Linked DNA regions of Anolis sagrei. The protein of the gene in region 1 purifies or fractionates together with the protein of each later gene. This does not show direct contact. Links are inferred from orthologs where the notes say so. Each region holds a gene or a part of one and is shown on either strand. Other genes may lie near its edges.

The links.
Region 2: the proteins of VPS50 (region 1) and VPS52 purify together in Homo sapiens (affinity purification with mass spectrometry; 4 studies listed by BioGRID and IntAct, counting the BioPlex papers as one, with this or other methods). This does not show direct contact. The link is inferred for Anolis sagrei from reciprocal best matches to the Homo sapiens genes VPS50 and VPS52.
Region 3: the proteins of VPS50 (region 1) and EIPR1 purify together in Homo sapiens (affinity purification with mass spectrometry; 4 studies listed by BioGRID and IntAct, counting the BioPlex papers as one, with this or other methods). This does not show direct contact. The link is inferred for Anolis sagrei from reciprocal best matches to the Homo sapiens genes VPS50 and EIPR1.

The regions. Positions count from the first base shown.
Region 1 is NC_090026.1:102,220,700-102,227,838, forward strand, and holds the start of VPS50 (syndetin), read right to left. Parts: upstream 3,001-7,139; 5' UTR 2,885-3,000; coding exon 2,852-2,884; intron 1-2,851.
Region 2 is NC_090022.1:1,928,116-1,935,376, reverse strand, and holds the start of VPS52 (vacuolar protein sorting-associated protein 52 homolog), read left to right. Parts: upstream 1-4,253; 5' UTR 4,254-4,337; coding exon 4,338-4,439; intron 4,440-7,170; coding exon 7,171-7,252; intron 7,253-7,261. Other genes in the region: RPS18 (small ribosomal subunit protein uS13), read right to left, coding at 2,148-2,219. UniProt on the Homo sapiens protein: Acts as a component of the GARP complex that is involved in retrograde transport from early and late endosomes to the trans-Golgi network (TGN).
Region 3 is NC_090021.1:119,250,662-119,258,291, reverse strand, and holds the start of EIPR1 (EARP and GARP complex-interacting protein 1), read right to left. Parts: upstream 3,009-7,630; 5' UTR 2,886-3,008; coding exon 2,844-2,885; intron 1-2,843. Other genes in the region: TRAPPC12 (trafficking protein particle complex subunit 12), read left to right, coding at 3,068-3,131. UniProt on the Homo sapiens protein: Acts as a component of endosomal retrieval machinery that is involved in protein transport from early endosomes to either recycling endosomes or the trans-Golgi network.

The DNA of each region.
Region 1 (7,139 bases):
TTCCATAAATTGTTTGCTACCACATAATCATTTGAGTTGGAAAGGACTCCAAGGTCCGTTTAGTACAACCGCTTTCCAGGAAATAATACATAATAAAGCACTTCTGCAAGATTGCTACCAAGTTAAAAGACCTCTGATGAAGGAGAGTCCATCATCCCCTATGCAAGCCATTCCACTGCTCTTAACATCAGAAAGTTCCTCCTAATGTTTAGACAGAATCTCTTTTCTACACAAATAATCAGATTTCTATTTGAATCTGATTGTTTGTGTGCCAACCTCTAGATAAGCAAAAAACAAGCTTACTCCATCTTGAAATTACTGAAAGATGGCTGTCATGTCAATAACAGTGACAAACCTATTTGCTAATATCATACAATAATATCATACAGCCCTCCATCTCAGAATATCAAGGCAGAAAATCCGACAATATCTGCTTTGAACTGGGTTCCAGATAACAACAACAACAACAACAACAACACTTTATTTATATTCCACCCCCTCTCTCCAAATCGACTCTGGGTAGCTTACAACAACAACAAAAATACAGTATGCATAATAATGCTCAACCAATCAAGACAACAAAATTCATAAACTTTTCCATATATTGTGATGCCAGAAGTGGACACAGTATTTCAAGTGAGGCCTGACCAAAACAGAATAGACTGGGACTATGACTGCCCTTGATGTCGACACTATACTCCTATGGATTGGCTTTATTAGTTGCCATAACACACTGTCCAGCTTGTGGCCTACAAAGCGTCCTAGATCTGTGTATTGTCAAAGGCTTTCATGGCCAGAATCACTGGGTTGTTGTGAGTTTCCCAGGCTGTATTGTCATGTTCCAGAAGCATTCTCTTCTGATGTTTCGCCTGCATCTATGGCAGGCATCCTCAAAGGTTGTGAGGTCGGTTGGAAAACTCAGAAAATGTTTCCAACAGACCTCACAACCTTTGAGGATGCCTGCCATAGATGCAGGTGAAACATCAGGAGAAAATGCTTCTGGAACATGGCCATACAGCCCGGAAAACTCACAATAACCCAGTCCTAGATCCCCTTTACATGTAATGTTATCAAGCCAGGTGTCCCTCATCCTAGATCTATGCATTTCATTTTTTCTGCTCATTTTTCCTTATTGAAACTCATTCCAAATGATGTCTGAGCAAAGCAGACTTGGGGGTGCTCACAATTAATATATGTGAGCTATATTAATTGTACTGTTTTATTTGCTTGCTGCTTTGTTGTTATTGATGTGTTGTTGGGCTTGGCATCATGTAAGCTGCCCCGAGTCCCCTAGGGGAGATGGTGGCGGGGTATAAATAAAATTTTATTATTTATTTATTGTATACGTATACCGCCTTTCTCGGCCCGTGGGCGACTCAGGGTAAAATTCAATGCTTACAATGTCATAAATACAATTAAAAACGTAACATATAATAAAAACTAAACAAATCAATAAAATATAATTCATTGTGTCTCCTTGTTAAAAATGTTGTTCGGACTCATTGTCTAGTCATTCCATTTTCCTGTGTCAGTTACTCTGCATTTGCAAACGTTTGTTCAACGCATACACCCCAAGCATGGGCAAACTTCCAGGTGTTTTGGACTTCAACTCCCACAATTCCTAAGTTGAAGTCCAAACCACCTGGAGGGCCAAAGTTTGCTGATGCCTGATATATATTGTAGAAATAATGCAGTAAACTGTGTTCATTGTTTTTATAATAGATCTACGTGGGGCTGCCTTTGAAGACAGTTCGAAAACTTCAGTTAGTTCAACGGGCAGCAGCCAGATTACTAACTGGGGCGGCATACAGGGAGCATACCACCCCCCTGTTATGCCAGCTCCACTGGCTGCCGGTCCATCTCCGAGCCCAATTCAAAGTGCTGTTTTTGACCTATAAAGCTCTATACAGTTCGGGCCCAGCTTACTTGTCTGAACACATCTGCCCTTATGTCCCACCTTACAATTTAAGATCATCCGGGGAGGCCCTGCTCTCGCTCCCGTCAACAGTGCAAATGCGGCTGGCGGGGACAAGGAGCAGGGCCTTCTCAGCTGTGGCCCCCCGCCTATGGAACACACTCCCAAAGGAGGTAAAATCTGCTCCCTCGCTCCTGACCTTTAGAAAAAAATGAAAATCATGGTTCTGGGACCAGGCCTCAGACAATAGATGTATGCAGGGTTTAGTGGGACAAGGACTGGAATGGTGACTCGACTGATGGGATTGTTTTATGGTTTTAATAACTGTTTTGATATTTGATGATGTACTGTTTTTAATATGATTTATGTTTAAAGTGTGGCTTTACTGTTGTAGTGGTAAGGCATTGAATTTTTGCCATTATCTATGTGTAAACCGCTTTGAGTCCCCCTCGGGGTGAGAAAAGCGGTATATAAATGCTGTAAATAAATAAATAATACTCTAAAACTGTGTCACATTAAATTAAATTTGTCCTTATTTGTCTTAATTTGCTTTTAATTACGGTAATTTAATATTGATATCACGTCAACACAGAGTTCATGGTACGGTATAATATGGGGTATAGTATGAGTTAGGCCTATCTTTAATAGCAACTCTCAAGCAACCAGAAATGACATTTATTCGCCATCTACCAATTCTCATGGATACCCGTTAACTGGTTGTCTACTGGTTTCTGGGATTTTGTTTCCTCCTGAAAACACACGCTATGTTTCTTGTGAAAGGGTGCCACACCAAGCCAAGGAAGTCCGGCCTTGCTTTAAAGCAGCAGCAGCAGCATTCATTCAGCCCAACCTGGACCCGCCTGCTGCTCCTTTTTGTCCGGATCGCTTCGAGGCGCAGCCCTCCTCGGCAATTTAGGCCTCTCCCGCTCCCCGTACCTGTCGGGTCATGAGGGACTTGATCTTCTGCATCGCAGCCCAGCGCCAGCCTCTTGGCCTTCCTCACCCTCTTCTGTCAGCCACCGGGCCCGGAACGCTCTGACACAGCGGCGCCATTTTGGGCCTCACGTGACCCGCTTGCTTCCCGTGCCCCGGTGTTTCATGGGATTTGTAGGCCTAGTGCGAACAGCTCATCTATGCCATGCTTCAGAGAGCGTGGTCTTCAGAACTACAATTCCCGTGATACTAAACTCATATATTGCCTAGCCTCTGATTTTCCAGCAGGGAAGAAGTCTTCTGTTAAAGGGAGAGTCACCTGCTAGTTGGAGGTTTATTTTCTGGTCTGTTTTGCCCTTCCGCCTGGGTGTCTAATAGGCAAATAACAACAAACATAATAATATTAGTAATAATATTAGTAATAATATTAGTAATAATTATTAATATTAGTAATAATATGTGGCTCTTAATGAGACATGCCGCATTATCACAGGGTGTCTGCGCCCCACACCACTGGAGAAATTACACTGCTTAGCCGGTATTGCACCACCTGACATCTGCCGGGAAGTAGCAGCCAATAGTGAAAGGACCAAGGCAGAGACATCTCCAGCTCATCCCCTGTTTGGGTATCAGCCAGCACATCAACGACTTAAATCTAGACATAGTTTTCTAAGATCTACAGAGACACTCGCTGGAACACCCCAGCAAGCGAGAGTCCAAAAGTGGCAGGCTCAAACCCAGCACCTCAACCAATGGCTGATACCAAATGAGAGACTCCCCCATGGGCTCACAGAAGACTGGGCGACTTGGAAGGCATTGAACAGACTGCGCTCTGGCACCACGAGATGCAGAGCCAACCTTCAGAAATGGGGCTACAAAGTGGAATCCTCGACATGCGAGTGTGGAGAAGAGCAAACCACTGACCACCTGCTGCAATGCAACCTGAGCCCTGCCACATGCACAATGGAGGACCTTCTTGCAGCAACACTCCAAATGGCCAGATACTGGTCAAAGGACATTTAACCAGCTACCAAACTCACAAGTTGTGTATTTTTCTGTTTGTTTGCTTTGTTCTGTTAGAAATGTAATATAATGGACTGGTTGCTCTGACACGACAAATAAATAAATACAAATAAATAAATAATAGAAATCATGAGAATATAAAAAATAATAATAATAATAATAATAATAATAAGATTATAAGCAAGAATTTGAAATAATATGAACTAATATAAACAATTATATAAATCTCTCAGTTCTTGTGGGTTTTTTCGGGCTATATGGCCATGTTCTAGAGGCATTTCTCCTGACGTTTCGCCTGCATCTATGGCAAGCATCCTCAGAGGTGAGGTCCTCACCTCTGAGGATGCTTGCCATAGATGCAGGCGAAACGTCAGGAGAAATGCCTCTAGAACATTATTATTATTATTATTATTATTATTATTTGCATTTGTTAACCGCCACTCTCAGCCCGAAGGCGACTCGTGGCAGTGTACAGAACACAGAACATAAAGACAACAATTACAATAGATTAGGACCATAACACACATCTTACTAACACACGGCTAATTAAGCTAAAAATCCGCTTCGTCTTGTTTGAATCATAATCAATCATGGCCATATAGCCCGAAACATGGCCATATAGCCCGAAAAAACCCACAAGAACTGAGTGATTCCAGCCATGAAAGCCTTCGACAATAATATAAATATTTGATTTAAAAATAATGATGCCCAGTGGTGCAGCAGATTAAACCTCTGAGCTGCTGAACTTGCTGACCTAAAGGTTGGCGGTTTGAATCCAGGGAACAGGGTGAGCTCCCGCTCTTAGTCCCAGCTTCTGCCAACCTAGCAGTTCGAAAACATGCAAATGTGAGTAGATCAATAGGTACCGCACAAGCAGGAGATTAATGACGCTCCATGCAATCATGCCAGCCACATGACCCTGGAGGTGTCTACGGACAATGCCGACTCTTTGGCTTAGAAATGGAATGAGCACCACCCCCCAGAGTCTGACAGCTTTACCTTTAATGATAATACAAAGCAATAATAATATAAAATAATGAAAATATACAACAATAATAATATAGGCAACAATATAAAATAATATAAATAATATGAAACTAATATACAATAACATAATATAAATAATAATATAAATTAATTTAAACAACAATAATACCTAATCCTAATAACTTAAAATAACAATAATAAAATTAATATAAACAAACATAATATAAATGAATGATAATAAGAAGAAATGTAGGGTAGCCCCAAAGTCTCCATACGTAGGATTTAAAAAAAACCTAATATTTTCTATTACCTTACATTATATTGTTTTAATATTTTTATCTTTATATATTGTGTATTTTATCCATTTTAATTGTAATTTATAAATTTTGTAGTTTTACAACCTCTTTAGCCTTTTCTGCCAAAGAGTTCTGGTGCTACACCAAACTACATCTCCCAGGATTCCATAGTATTGAGCCTTGGCAATTAAAGTGGTGTCAAACTGCAGTCATTCTACTACAGTGTGGATGCACTTAAAAATGACAGTATTACTGCAGAAATGCAAATGTTTAGCCCTGTAGAGAAACTCCTCCACATAGTTGAAACTCCTCCACATTTAGAATTCTTGTATTTGCTGCATTCATATTCTAGGGCTGTAATTTACAACTTTTCAGTATACAATAGGTCTGTGGTATCAGCTGGTGGTCAATTCCAGGAAAACTCTGTGGGTACCAAAATCTGTCACCTCTAAAGTTTCATTATATACAATGCTGTAATAAAATGGTGGTGTTCATATAGATTGGCAAAATGAAGCCCCTGTGAGGACTTCAGTCAGGCCCAATCAGGTGTCCGGGTGTAGATTGGACCTGTACCAAACCAATGGAGCCATTCTGTCTTATCTCCAGTGGGAAAGGAGTAATTCAGTGGGAAGGAATTGCTAGGGAGGAACAACTTGCAATGCTTCTGACATCTTTCTTTGTATTGTTATATTGTGTGTTGAGGCCTTGGCCTTTGTAAGCCGCATCGAGTCCTTCGGGAGATGCTAGCGGGGTACAAATAAAGTATAATAATAATAATAATAATAATAATAATTTCCAAAGTAGAATATCCATATAAAACTTCAAGATAACAAAAAAATTATTTATTTATTTCAGTATTTGTATACCGCTTTTCTCACCCTGAGGGTGAGAAATCCCTCGTTAAGGGATTCTAGAACATAACTTTTCTACACTTTGATCCATTCATAGAGCCTCATATACTCAAAATATATATTTTATTATTAATTTAATTATTGGTAAGTAACTAAGGAAACAGAAACAAAATGTTACCCTTCCTTCTTCCCCCCCCCCCCCCACTAATCCTAAGCAGATGGACTCATCTAGGCCTCTACCCAGAGACTAAATGTATTTATTTCAAAAGCTATCATTGTTGAAATATATGGTATCTATAGTAGAGTGCGGTATATGAACTTGTGGTAGGAAAGAGGAGAGAAAATGCACAGGATACTCTGGTAAGGGTTTCAAAGGTAAAAATGTACTTTTATTGTTGCAGATAATACATCTTAGAATCATAGAATCAATTATACATCTTGTATGTATAGAATAATAGAGAGACAAAAAGTTTAGCTAAATTTGGTAGAAGACTCCTTGATGCTGACTCTCATGTCTCTTTGTAAGGCATCCTGAGGTTGAGAAGCATCATGGTGCTCCCTTTTAAAATAAATGGTAATAAAGCACACTAAAGACTTTTAGTGAAAACTTGGAAGTGACTTTTTCACGTAGACAAGAAGCAAAACACCTTGAGTTACATAGATCTAGTAAACAGAGGTGAAAAACAAGACAGCAGGCATATACCACCCTCCGTCGCTATTTGCTCTGTGTATAAGTGTTGATACTTCTTCACTTTCAACAGGCATTGAAAAGCATCTTCCTTAAAACTGAGAGTCTTTTTCAATGTCTTCAAAACCTTAGTGCTATCATAGGAATTGACAACACAAATATACAATAAAGAAAAAGTTTATCCTTGACATTAAGTCTAGTCGGGTCCAACTCTGGGGGGTGGTACTCATCTCTATTTCAAAGCCGAAGAGCCAGCATTGTCCGTAGATGCCTCCAAGATCATGTGGCCAGCAGGACTGCATGGAGCACCATTACCTTCCCCCCAAGCAGTACCCACTCACATTTGTATGTTTTTGAACTGCTAGTTTGGCAGAAGCTGGGGCTAACAGAAGGAGCTCACCCTGCTCCCTGGATTTGAACCACTGACCTTTTGGTCAGCAAGTTCA
Region 2 (7,261 bases), on another chromosome or scaffold:
TATGGCAAGCATCCTCAGAGGTAGTGAGGTCTGTTCGAACTAGGAAAAGGGGTTTATATATCTGTGGAATGACCGGGGTGGGACAAAGAACTCTTGTCTGCTGGAGCTAGGTTTGAATGTTTCAACTGACCACCTTGATTAGCATATAATAGCTAGACTACCTAGAGCAAACTTTTGTTGAGAGGTGACTAGGTGTCCTTGTTTGTTTACTCTCTGTTGTTGTGCTGTTCTAATTTTGAAGTTTTTTAATACTGGTAGCCAGATTGTGTTCATTTTCCTCCTTTCCTCCTTTCTGTTGACATTGTCCACATGCTTGTGAATGTCAATGGCTTCTCTGTGTAGTCTGACATGGTGGTTGTGAGAGTGGGCCAGCACTTCTGTGTTCTCAAATAATAATCTGCTGTGTCCAGGCTGGTTCCTCAGGTGCTCTGCTATGGCTGACTTCTCTGGTTGGAGTAGTCTGCAGTGCCTTTCCTGTTCCTTGATTCGTGTCTGGACACAGCAGATTATTGGAGAACACAGAAACACCACCATGCTAGGCTACACAGAGAAGCCATTGAAATCCACAATTTCAACAGAAAGGAGGAAACCATGAAAACAAAATCTGGCTACCAGTATTAAAAAAAACTATAAAATCACAACAGCACAACAGCAGAGAGGAAACAAATAAGGATCAACAGTGACAAATGCAAGATACTCCACTTTGGCAAGAAAAACGAAATGCAAAGATATAGAATGGGGGACAATGCCTGGCTCGAGAGCAGGACGTGTGAAAAAGATCTTGGAGTCCTCGTGGGGAGGAAGGTAAACATGAGCCAGGAATGTGATGTGGCAGCAAAAAAAGCCAATGGGATTTTGGCCTGCATCAAGAGGAGCCTAGTGTCTAGATCTAAGGAAGTAATACTACCCCTCTATTCTGCTTTGGTCAGACCACACCTGGAATATGGTGTCCAATTCTGGGCACCACAATTCAAGAGAGATATTGACAAGCTGGAATGTGTCCAGAGGAGGGCGACTAAAATGATCAAGGGTCTGGAGAACAAGCCCTATGAGGAGCGGCTTGGGGAGCTGGGCATGTTTAGCCTGAAGAAGAGAAGGCTGAGAGGGGATATGATAGCCATGTATAAATATGTGAGAGGAAGCCACAGGGAGGAGGAGGGAGCAAGCTTGTTTTCTGCTTCCCTGGAGACTAGGATGCAATGGCATAATGGCTTCAAACTACAAGAGAGGAGATTCCCTCTGATCATGAGGAAGGACTTCCTGACTGCGAGAGCTGTTCAGCAGTGGAACTCTCTGCCCCGGAGGGAGTGTGGTGGAGGCTCCTTCTTTGGAAGCTTTTAAACAGAGGCTGGATGGCCATCTATCAGGGGTGCTTTGAATGCAATATTCCTGCTTCTTGGCAGAATGGGGGTGGACTGGATGGCCCAGGAGGTCTCTTCCAACTCTTTGATTCTAAGGACATCTAATCACCTCTTAACAAAAGATTGCTCCAGGCACTGTCAGGCCATCAAATGCTAATCAAGGTCGTCAGTTGAAACATTCCCACCTAGCTCCAGCAGACAAGAGTCCTTTGTCCCACCCTGGACATTATTTCAGATACATAAACCCATTGTCCTATTTCCAACAGACCTCACTACCTCTGAGGATGCTTGCCACAGATGCAGGCGAAACGTCAGGAGAGAATGCCTCTAGAATGCCCGAAAAAACCTACAACAACCCAGGGATTCCGGCCATGAAAGCCTTCGACAATACATTGGTCACTACATTTTTGTTTATATAGAAAATGTATGCTTTTGCTGAGTGTATTTTAATATATGGTGATAAGGCTTGGGCGAGACTGGATGGGCCGCCTCCTCCAACCCCATTCTGCTGTGCAGGAAGAGCACCATCAAAGCCCCCCCGAGAGATGGCCGTCAATAACAATAATGACAACAAGGATAACAGAGTTGGAAGCGACTGGATGGGCCTCCAACCCGCAGGGGCCTCCGAAGCGGCCCTCCTTCTCCTTCTTCCGCGGCCTCCCCGCCCTCGAGGCCCGCCCCTACGGAGCCCCCCGGCGGCGCCCTCTCTCCCGCTCCCACCCGGGCCCCGGCCGGCCTCTCCCCCGCGGAGGATGGCGCCGGATGAGGCCTTCCCCCCGGACCCACCATGGCTGCACTCTCGCTCCTCGCTCCTGCCCAGGCCGGAAAAGGAAGTCGAGCATGCGCGCAGGCCTCCATATACAGGCCCCGCCCTCCCGGCCTTCGACAACTTCCGGTGAGAGCGTGCCCGGCTTCCTCTCCACCTCGAAGGCGCTTCCGCGCTTCGCTGTTGCCATGGTGATAGAGAGCCAGGGCGGAGCTTAGAGATAGCAAACCTGTAGAAGAGCGGCCCATAGAGAGATAACGAGACTAACCTCTGTGTACTTGAAAGCCCTGGAGGAGGCAATCTACCTTTGATCTCTATCATATCAGTATATTTATTACAATCCATTTCAATATATGAAAAGAAGATATTTTAATAGATTGCATTGAATGTTTCAACAGAGAGGAAACAACCAGGCACAGATTAACACCTCCCAGCAAGAGATTTTCCCAGGCTCAGGCAGGCCTTCAAATGCTAATGAAGGTGATCAGCTGAAACATTCACACCTAACTACAGCAGGGAAGAGCTCATTGCCCCACCCCAGCCATTCCACAGATATATAAACCCATTGTCCTAATTCCAACAGACCTCATTCCAACAGACCTCACTACTTCTGAGGATGCTTGCCATAGATGCAGGCGAAACGTCAGGAGAAAATGCCTCTAGAACATGGCTCTATAGCCCGAAAAACCCACAAGAACCTAGTGATTCCAGCCATGAAAGCCTTCGACAATACATTGTATTAAAATATACGTGTTTTAATAGTATTATATTAATATATTTGTTATATGTATACTTTTGGTCTGTGTGTTTAATATGGGTGTTTTATTAATATAGTATTATATTTATATATTTATTCTGTGTATGTTAATATATGTGTTTTAATAATATTCTATTAATACATTTATTACCTGTATACTTTTGCTCTGTGTATTTAATATGGGTGTTTTAATAATATATTACTACATTTATATATTTATTTTGTGTATGTTAATATATGTGTCTTAATATTATTCTATTAATATATTTATTATATGTATACTTTTGCTCTGTATATATAATATGGATGTTCTATTAATATATTCTTACATTTATATATTTATTCTGTGTTTGTTAATATACATGTTTTAATAATATTCTATTAATATAATCATTATATGTATACTTTTGCTCTGTATGTTTAATATGGGTGTTCTATTAATATATTATTATATTTATATATTTATTCTGTGTATGTTAATATATGTGCCTTAACAATATTGCATTAAAACATTTATTATATGTATATTTTGCTCTGTATATTTAATATGGGTGTTCTATTAATATAGTATTATATTTATTCTGTGTATGTTAATATTCATGTTTTAATAATTCTATTAATATATTTATTACGTGTATACTTTTGCTCTGTGTATTTAATATGGGTGTTCTATTAATACATTATATTTATATATTTATTCTGTGTATGTTAATATATATGTCTTAATAATATTCTATTAATATATTCATTATATGTATACTTTTGCTCTGTGTGTTTAATATGGGTGTTCTATTAATATATTATATTTATTCTGTGTATGTTAATATTCGTGTTTTAATAATTCTATTAATATATTTATTACGTGTATACTTTTGCTCTGTGTATTTAATATGGGTGTTCTATTAATACATTATATTTACATATTTATTCTGTGTATGTTAATATATGTGTCTTCATAATATTATATTAATATATTGTTACATTTATATTATACTCTGTGTGTTTTAATAGTGTTATATTAATATAAATATTATTATATTTATATTTTAGTCTGTGCATTTTAATATATGTCTTTATAATAATAATAAATAGTCTTATACTAATATTATACTTAATAGTCTTATACTAATATTAGTATATGTATATGTTTGCTCTGTGCCTTTTAATATATGTGTCTTAATTGTATTATACGAATACATTTACTATTATTGTGTTTTGTTCTACTAACCCTAACCCAGTGTTGCTGAGAGATCCCCAGCTGGAAACAGTGCCAGTCTTCCTTCTTTTCCCAGCCAGGCCCCGCCCCTTCCGCTCCGCCGCGCGGTGCATGCCGGGTCTTGTAGTCTCGAAGGGGAGGGAGCGCCTAGGAGACCGGAAGTGGCTTCCCTGGGAGACCCGGATGTGTCCAGAGCGTTGAGGGAGAAGCCAGGCAGGCAGGCGGGCGAGCGGCGTGATGTCGGCGACGGAGGAGGAGGAGGGCGGCGGCGGCGGAGGCAGCGGCGGGGGTCCCGGGCTGTTGCTGCTGCTGCGCTCCAGGGACGCCGAGGAGGATGAGGTAGGTGCACACGGACCGGGCCCCACTTCCGGTCCCCCAGGGAGGCCCACTTCCGGCCTCACCTCAGCCGGCCCCCTCTTCCTTGGGACTGCCTTTCAGACCTTTCTCCCAGGACTCCTTCTCTCAGCCTCGTCTTTGGAGGCTCAACAGGCCCAGCTCTTTAAGACGCTCCTCATAGGGATTATTCCTGTTCTCCAGGCCTGGGATTCTTGGAATCTCCCTCTTCCAGCTTAGAGTCAACGACCAAGGCAGAAAAGAGTGGCCCCAGGACTTCCCTCCATCTTGACCAGGAGTCCTCAAACTAAGGCCCGGGACTTGCCGTATCTTCACTCACTTCCTGAGACCACAGAGACACTCATCCAATTACCAATAAAGACAAGACTTGCAACACAAAGCCCCCATGACCCATTCCACATCGTGGCAGAGTTTCAAGGAGGAGGATGGGACTTCAAGTACCTCCACTCACTTCCCAAGACAGCTGCGACCCACATCCAATGACTAATTATGCACACAGAGCCCCCATGACCCACTCTTCATCCTGGTGCAGTTTAGAGGAGGATGGACCATGGATGATGGGACTTGAAGTACCTCCACTCACTTCCTGAGACAGCTGCAACCCACATCCAATGACTGATCAAAACCAAACTTGGCACACAGAGCCCCCATGACCCACTCTACATCCTGGTGCTGTTTGGAGGAGGATGGACCATGGACGATCATCATCATCATCATCATCATTTAATAACTTATTAAGCCAGGTCTTAAGTGCGAGAGTAAAAGGCCCTAAGTCACGCATGGCTCTCAAGTAGGGTGGCAAGGAATTCCACAAAGCAGGGGCAGAAATAGGGAAAGCCCATCTACGCCTGGTTCTTTCCAAGGGCACTTCTCTAGGACACGGTATATGGAGTAAGTTGCATTGGGCTGGTCATTGCGGCCTCCGATGATGGGAGAAGGAGGGGCCACGGTACTCAGTTGGAAGCCAATGTCAATGTTGCAGGACTGGTGCTCTATAGCATTTCATGGGCATTCTTGTGAGTAGCCTGGCTGCCGCATTGTGAACAATACGGAGCTTTCGGGTTGTAGACATCGGAAGGCCCACGTACAGGGCATTGCAATAGTCCAGCCTAGATGTAACCGTGGCATGGATGACCGTTGCCAGAGCCTCATCAGATAGGTAGGGTGCCAGTTGCCTCACTTGTCGTAGATGGAAAAAGGCCTGTTTGCTGGCAGCAGCGACCTGAGCTTCCATTCCAGCACCAGGATTGTGGCGCAGCTGGCTGAGTGTCAGCTGCATTAAGATCACTCTGACCAAAAGGTCATGAGTTCGAAGCCAGCCCGGGCTGGAGTGGGTGTCCAGCCATTGTGTAGCCCGTTGTCGACCTTTGCAACGCGAAAGACAGTTGCATCTGTCAAGTAGGAAAATAAGGCACCACCTTGTGTGGGAGGCTAAATTTAACTAATTTATGAGGCCATAAAGAAAAAAGACTCCGGGGAATGTGGAATGTGGAAGAACTTCATCGGTGTCGCTGATGGACGATGAAAAGCAGCAGCTCCCCTGGCGGCCAGAAAAATGTTAAATAGCCTTGGTGTATTTGTGTGTTAGACGTTGTTTGTCAAAACTGGCATTGAATGTTTGCCATATATGTGTTGACTGTACCCTGCGGGGTGAGAAGGGCGGAATATAAGAACTGTAAATAAATAATAAATAAATAAACATTGTCAGCTGTGAATCCAGGACGACACCTAAGCTCTTAACAGTGGGCGATGGAGATAGAGCAGCACCATCGAAGGTGGGTAACTGATGAGTCAGACGATGGGACTCACAGTACCTTCAATAACTTCCTGAGACCACTGCAAGCCACATAAATAGCCTGAAGAAGAGAAGGCTGAGAGGGGATATGATAGCCATGTATAAATATGTGAGAGGAAGCCACAGGGAGGAGGGAGTTTCCCTGGAGACTAGGACACAATGGAAGAATAGCTTCAAACTACATAAAAGAAGATTCCATCTGAACATGAGGAAGAACTTCCTGACTGTGAGAGCCGTTCAGCAGTGGAACTCTTCGCCCCGGAGTGTGGTGGAGGCTCCTTCTTTGGAAGCTTTTAAACAGAGGCTGGATGGCCATCTGTCAGGGGTGCTTTGAATGCAATATTCCTGCTTCTTGGCAGAATGGGGTTGGACTGGATGATGGCCCAGGAGGTCTCTTCCAACTCTAGGATTCTATGATAAAGTCCAACCTTGGCACACAATGCGTTTCCCAAATAACCCGGGCACTGCTGGGTCCACAAGTTAGTAAATAATATAAGCTACCTTGAGTCCCCTTCTGGGTTGAGGAAGGTGGGGTATAAATAGGTACATAAATAAATAAACAAATAATTTTTAAATAATATTTTTGGTGAATGTGTCTTTTACAGTGTTGTAATAAAATAATAATAATAATAATAATAATAATAATAATAACAATAATAATATATATACCCTGCCACCATCTCCCGAAGGGACTCGGAGTGGCTCACAAAGCACTCAAAGGTGCAAACACACAAAATACAACAAGTGCATAAATAACATAAAAGCAATAATAGCCAACATATCATCATATATAACCAGCTTCGAGCCATGAGGAGAGGCAGGCAAGAAATTAAATTATTACTATTATTATTCCTGCTGCTTTGCCTGCCTCCCTGCAGAGCGTAACGGCCTCTTTTTTTCTCCCTTCCCCCCCATCTGCAGGGCCAGAGCGAGGAGCCCCTGCAGCTCAACCTGGGGGAACTGGACCTCACCTCCGACGAGTTCATCCTGGATGAAGTGGACAGTGAGTACA
Region 3 (7,630 bases), on another chromosome or scaffold:
CACAGCCAGAATTTAAACTCCCTTCCACTATTACATCTCCTTGCCTCACTTCTTCTGCTGCCCTTCTGCCTGTCCTTCCATGTCTGACCAAAGGGCAGTAAAGGGAGTGATGCCAAGAGCAGAGCTGGCAGGAAAGAAGAATTTCCTGCCAGCAGTAGGAATAGGGTGAGATGGTGGATTGGTGGAAAGCGATTTAAACTCCAGCAGTCTTCATCATGGGAAGGTTGTAACAAGAATAAAAAGTTGGTGCTATGGGACAGCGAGGGAAGGTCAGGTGGATTGAAAGGAAAGGATTTTAAAATCTGGTAGCAGAAGGAGTGAGACAAGGGAATGAATCAGCCAGAAAGGGTTTAAGATCTAGCTGAGCCTTCATAGTGGGAAGGCAGTAAATGGAGTGAGGAGATGGCGCTGATTGCAGGATAGAAGGAGCAGCTCAAGGAGTGAGGCAAGGAGGTCAAACTTGTTAAGCCGAAGATTTGCAAAAGAGAAACCTGTGAATGTACTTCAAATATACTGATCCTAAGCTATGAAAGTTAAATTCAACCCTTGAATTGGTCCTGGAAATAGACCAGAAACCAATGCAGCTGTTAGCGCTGAAACAGGATGTCATAATATCCAACTTTATTGATCCTACTTGCCCTTGGTCTGGCATTTCAAAGATAAAAACTATGAGACCTTGGGCTCAAGCAGCACCTTAGAAGCTTTAGTCTCTCTGTTTTAACCAAACACAATTTAGCATATTGTTGAAACCCATGAAAAAATATACATACAGCTCCCATCAGTCCTAGTCATGTTGACTAATGGCGAAAAATACAGGAGTTGTAGTCTAGCATCTGCCAGGCAGAATAAAATGAAATGGCGGGCTGGATTCTGTCCATGGACTTTGAGTTTGACACATATGATCTAGAAACTCCTAGAGAGAACATCTCTATAGGAATCTCTGGTAGATGTTTACCATGGATTCACCCTAGTCTTAACAGATTCCTAGAGAGATGCTCTCTCAAGTAAAAATAAAAGCGTTTTTGGCAGCTTTCTCACTTTTGCTGGGGTTCTGCGTCCATCTTACCTTATGGAACAGTATGTATGTAGGTATGATTCTAAAATGCCATTGATTGTAAAATAGGCACTAATTTAAGTACCACGAACAGAGGGAAAAAAGCTTTATTTATACATACAAAAAAGCACCTGCAATCCCAAGCCACACCCCAACTGTTGACATATTTATATGGAAAAAAGCATATCCCAAAATCAAGGAAATATTGTTTTGAGAAAATAAAATATTGTTTTATATGCATATGACTTCTCTTTTTAAATATGATGCTTCTTAGCTAATGTATTTGATAATCAATAAGAGATAAGATATGTGCGTGGTTCCATAAATTTTCAGTTTATGTTTTGCCTGCAATTATTATTACACACACATCAAGTCTCCTATTGGAAATAGCAACCTTCTACAAGCCTTCTATACTAGTTATTTGCTATTTATATAATTCAGATTACTTACTATATTGTAAATATGTGTATTGGTATACCTAATTTGTCTTGCACGAATACTAGTGGATATATACCACTAAAGAAAAGATTCACTCAAATGAGTTTTTAGCTCTTCTCAGGATTATCATACTTTACAAAAAGGTTATAATCATTACAAATTGTGTGGATGCCAAATGTCATAAATAAATTGTAAATAAATAATCTCCAAAGGGTCGCACTTCCAAAAAGGCTTTGGAGATTCTGGTTTTCCAAAAGGTTATGATGTCAAAGGTCATTCTTTCCCAAAATCTCCTTTGTGTAGAGAAAAGGTGGGATATAAATATACATAATAATAATAATTTCTTTTTAAGAGCCCTAGAAGAAGGCCATTATCAATATATCCAGGCCAAAAAAACATCCATTGGGCTTATTTGAGAGACACAATCTTTTACACATCCCCTGATTCCATAGCACTGAGCCATGGCGGTTAAAATGGTGTCAAACTGCATTAACCCTGCAGTGTAGATGCACCACAAGGTATCTCATGATGCAAATACAGAGATTCCAAAATACATTGAAAAATTTGAAATCCAATACAATTTCAGGTAAGTCATACTCAACTTGTATTTATAAAATTGTACGTTTTGCATTTACAGATGCATTTGGTGTGAGGTTCGGCCCTTCCCCACTGCCATATAACTCAGAATATCAAGGCAGAAAGTCCCACAATATCTGCTTTGAACTGGGTTATCTGAAGCCCCTTCCACACAACTGAATAAAATCCCACATTTTCTGCTTTGAACTGGAATATATGTCAGTGTGGACTCAGATAACCCAGTTCAAAGTAGATATTGTGGGATTTTCTGCCTTGATATTCTGGGTTATATGGCTGGGTGGAAGGGCCCAAGTCCACATTGTGATATAACCCTGTTCAAAGCAGATATTGTGAGGTTTTTTGCCTTGATATTCTGGGTGATATGGCTGGGTGGAATGGCCCAGAGTCCACTGCCATATAACCCAGTTCAAAGCTGATTTTGTGGGATTTTCTGCCTTGATATTCTAGGTTATATGGCTGGGTGGAAGGGCCCAGAGTCTACTGCTATATAACCCAGTTCAAAGCTGATTTTGTGGGATTTTCTGCCTTGATATTCTGGGTGATATGGCTGGGTGTAAAGGCCCAGAGTCCACTGCCATATAACCCAGTTCAAAGCAGATATTGTGGGATTGTATACAGTTGTGTGGAAGGGGTCCTAGATTATAGGAAACATGTGTTGCTGCTGTTCACAGCATTCCCCTTCCTTTCCAATTACCATGCTGATCATGACACGACAAAAAAAAAACCCTCATTGAAGCCCCTTCTTCCCCATTACCTGGAACTCGAGCCCATAAATCACGGGAGCATCATCCTCCATGGCTTCCGGGAAGCAATCCCCATTCAAAGCCCCATAGGGAAAAGGCGAAGCTCACAACAAGTGCTTGCACGTCCCTCGCCGGCTTCCGTCTTTCTCTCCACTTCCTGGATGGAAAGAGACGCTCCGTTCACGCAGCGGCAGAAGAGACGGCGGCTGCAGTGGGACCGTGAAAGCGGGCGCGCATGCGCACTCGGTGGGTTTCCCTATTTCGCCTCGGAGGCCTTGCCGGTGTTGCTGTCAGTGGAAGTAAGTGAGGCCAAGAAGGGGCCAGGCACGTGTATTTCTTCGCTTTGGCTGGCGCAGGGAAGGGAGAACACTCCTGTGGGGTTTGTGATGCTGCCTGAGCCCCTGTTCAGAGGATTTCAACTCTCTCTTTCTGTCCCTGTGATTATTGGATATTGAAAAATGCGGCTTGTCGTGGAAACAAGGATTGGTGCCAAAGCTGCAGTGGAGACACTTTCCCCCCGTGATAAACTCTTTCAAGAGTCAATTTCCCTTCCAAGGGGGAGATTTGTCTCACTGCGTTGCCATAGAATCCCGTTTCTATAATATATTGTATAAACATATAATATTGATAATATTATAATGTAATACAATATAATAATAATATGATATTATAATTATGTATTTTATCTTATATGTAATATTACTAATAATATTACAATATAATAGTATAGTGCAATATAGTAATATATAATACTAATATTGTGCTATGGTAATAATATAATATACTAGCTTTCGGTTGACAACTCCTATGATATATGGCCTGTATCATGACTTGAATTGTCATTCAGTCTGATGTCCTATATTATATTAACTGATCCTGTTAATTTGCTCTGTTTCCATGATTTTTCCTATGCCGTTATACATTGTCATCTACCTTATTAAACCAACTATCATTTAACTAGTTCACGTAGTGGTTTTCCTCCCCCCCCCCCCTCCAAAATTAGTCTGCTGGTATTGTTATTGCTAGCTATTTTTATTATGTTGTTTTATGCTGTTTATATTGCTTTAATTGTTATTGCTTTATTTTAACTGTATTCTGCCTGGGCTTGGGTTCCATGTTAGCCACCCCAAGTCCCTTCGAGGAGATGGAGGTGGGGTAGAAAAATAAAGTTCTTCTTCTTCCTCTTCTTCTTCTAGCTGTACCCGCCATGCGTTGCTGTGGCCAACTTTTCCTCCCTCTTTCTCTTCGTTCTTTCTCTCCTTCCTTCCTTCTCTTCTTCTTCCCTTCCACCCACCCCCTTTTTTCTTTCCCTTCACCTTTCTTTCCTCTCTACCTTCTCTACCTATTCTTGGACTGCAACTCCCAACAGTCCTCCTGATCCATCCATCTATCTACCTACCTACCTATCTCTATCTAATCTATCTATCTGGAGGATTGCTGGGAACTGCAGTCCAGGAATAGGAAATTGGAAATATGCAGGGATTGGGATACTCTCAAAGAAGTCCAAGGAGAAGGAATCTTGCAGCTTGGAAGCAGTGCATTTGAATCATCCCCTTCTCCTAAAGGGTCTGGTCTAGGAAATGCTGGGAGCTGTAGTCTGGAGGAGAGTGTGGATATGCTATTGTGTGTTTTGTTCGCCAGGGGAAGTCGTTTTTGTGCTGTGGTGTCTTTTTGCTTTTTTGGTTTCTAAAGTCTTTTCGGCTGTGTTTTTCAGTGTTTTTATGAGTGATGGTCACTCGTTGGCCTGACAGGTGCATTGTGTCCAAATTTGGTGTCAATTCGTCCAGTGGTTTTTGAGTTATGTTAATCCCACAAACAAAGATTACATTTTTATTTATATAGATTGTATTTACATATTATTTGTAAACCTCTCTGAGTCCCCTTCAGGATGAGAAGGGCAGCATATAAATGTTGTGAATAAATAAATAAATTTCTGAATCCAAATTATCTACTTTGAGTTGGATTATATGGTAGTGTAGAACTGCCATATAATCCAGATAATCTGGATTCAAAAAAAAGGATGATATGGCAGTGTTGATCTGGCCTGAGACTGTCGTACTTTGGCCATATCCTGAAAAGAAATGGCTCACTAGAAAAGGCAATACTGTTTGTTAAGGGGGAAGGCAGCAGGAAAAGGTAAAGACTACACTGCAGAGGGATACACTCAATCATAAGGGTGCATCTACATTTATGCTGTGGTTCTCAGCCTGTGGGTCCCCAGGTGTTTTGGCCTACAACTCTCAGAAATCCCAGCCAGTTTACCAGCTTTTAGGATTTCTGGGAGTTGAAGGCCAAAACATCTGGGACCCACAGGTTGAGAACCACAGGAATGAAGCATTTTGATCCCACCTTAATTGCCATGACTAAATGCTACAGAATCCTGGGAGTTATGGTTTTACAATGTCTTCAGCCTTCTCTGAGAAAGACTGTTTGTGCCGCACCAAACTACAAATCCAAGGATCCATAGCATTGAACCATGTCAGTTAAAGGGGTGTCAGACTTCATGGATTCTGCAGTGTAGATGCACCCTGGGTCTGCAAGACTTCAAGAAGGGTGTTGGCGATAGGATTACTTGAAAGTCTCATTCACAAGTCAACATTAAGAGCAACAATTCATTGCTATTAATTATTATTGGCATGTATTGTCGAAGGCTTTCATGGCCAGAATCACTGGGTTGCTGTGAGTTTTCCAGGCTATATGGCCATGTTCCAGAAGCATTCTCTCCTGATGTTTCACCCACATCTATGGCAGGAATTCTCAGAGGTTGTGAATTCTGTTGGAATGTAGACAACTGGGGTTTATATATCTGTGGAATAATGTCCAGGGTGGGAGAAAGAACTCTTATCTGTTTGAGGCAAGTGTGAGTGTTGGAATATGTTTTTAAAGGTTTTAATGTATGTATGTTGTAATTCTGTTTTAAATGTTGATTGTAATTTTTAAATTATTTTAATGTCATCAAATAGTTGCCTATGTTGTAAAGCTACCTTGAGTCACCTTCGGGTTTGAAAAAGGTGGGGTAGAAATATCGTAAACAAATAAATAAATTGGCCACCTTGATTAGCATTGAATGGTCTTGCAGCTTCAAAGCCTGAGGGAATCCTTTGTTGGGAGGTGTTAACTGCCCCTGATTGTTTCATGTCAGGAATTCCCCTGTTTTTAGTGTTCCTCTTTATTTACTGTCCTGATTTCAGAGGGTTTAAAAAAATATATTATTGGCATGTATATATTGACCCTTTACTTCAAACTGTGGGAAAATACATATAACATACACTTCCTGAATTTTATTATACAAAGATGTTTGTTTTATTAAAATGATAATAATCTTTGCAAACATATTAAAGAAAATAATTTGTCACATATTTTTCTATTTTAAGCATCCAGAAACCCACCCCTGCTTTCTCTTCCAAAAAGACAAGTGTTGTACATAGTGAAGCCAAACCTGACAGAGCTGAATTTGGGAAATTATTTTTCAGTACCTGAAAACTGCATTTTTGGGATGGCTCAGTTCAAGTTGCTTTCAGCTAAAAATTTATAGCATGCTTTCTATGCTCTCCATGGCAATGCTCAATTTGAAATGGAATCCCCTTCACTACATATTTTCTTTTACATTTCTTTGTCTTCTATCATTTCGTGCACCATTATCATATTTTTGGCATGCTGGATTCCCCATATTCCTGTAAAGAATACTTTAGTGTCCTCCAAGTGTTTTAGACTTCCACATCCAGGAATCCTAGCCAGCTTACCAGCTGTTAGAAATTCTGGGAGCTGAAGCCCAAAACGCCTGGAGGACCAAAAGTTGGGAGCCACTGGTGTAGAAGAACAAATATTGGATATTTCTGCAATTCAGTATAAAGGCATATCCTTGCTTTGAAGTAACTAACTGCAAAAGTAAATAAGACACGTCTCATCAAAATCTATGACATTTATTGCAGTGTTTTGACCTAGTAATCCCTCTGTCTCTCTTTTGAAGTCTACCAGCACCAGTGTTTTGCCACGATTCTTTGCCAGATAATTTAGACAGTACCCACTATATCATCAAAGCTCTGATTGGTAGCAGCGCAATAACTCAATCCAAAAGAAATTTCAAGCAGTCACTTGAATATGATATGAAATGATATAAGTGATTATAAACTTCAAAGTAATCTCCAGCCAGAGCAAGCAATCACAAGATGAAGTTGTGATTTAAGACAGTGAATAGAGTGCACAAATGCCAACTCCATCCCATGGAGTGTCCCTCCCGGGACCAAATCTCTTCATGTGAGAGCAATTTTTTCTAGTGCTGAAAGAGAAATCCCACTCCTTGTTACATTGAGCAGCAATTGAAGATATCAGGGCATCTCCAAGTGAGGGATATAGCCCATATCTGGGGTAGTTGTCCTTTTAAGCACTGGTGAGATGAGTGGCATAGGAAGAAAACGTACAGTGCAGCTGGTGTTCGGAGGAGCTGGTCCTCCAAAGCTAGGTATGTCTCTTTGCCCACTGCATGACCTTCTACGGCATGGTGAATGACAACAGAACTGCCTTGTAGTACCCAAGAACTATATGTGTGTACTCAAAATGAAAAGAGCTACTTCAGTGGTTCTCAACCTGTGAGTCCTCAAATGTTTTGGCCTACAGCTCCCAGAAATCTCAGCCAAATTTACCAGTTGTTAGGATTTTTGAGAATGGAAGGCCAAAACATCTGGGGACCTACAGGTTGAGAACCACTGAGCAGCATCTAGAACTAGTCAACAAAATTTGCAGGTTTTTTAAATGGCTAGCTTTAGAGGTACTAATACCAGTTCTACCCTCTTGCCAC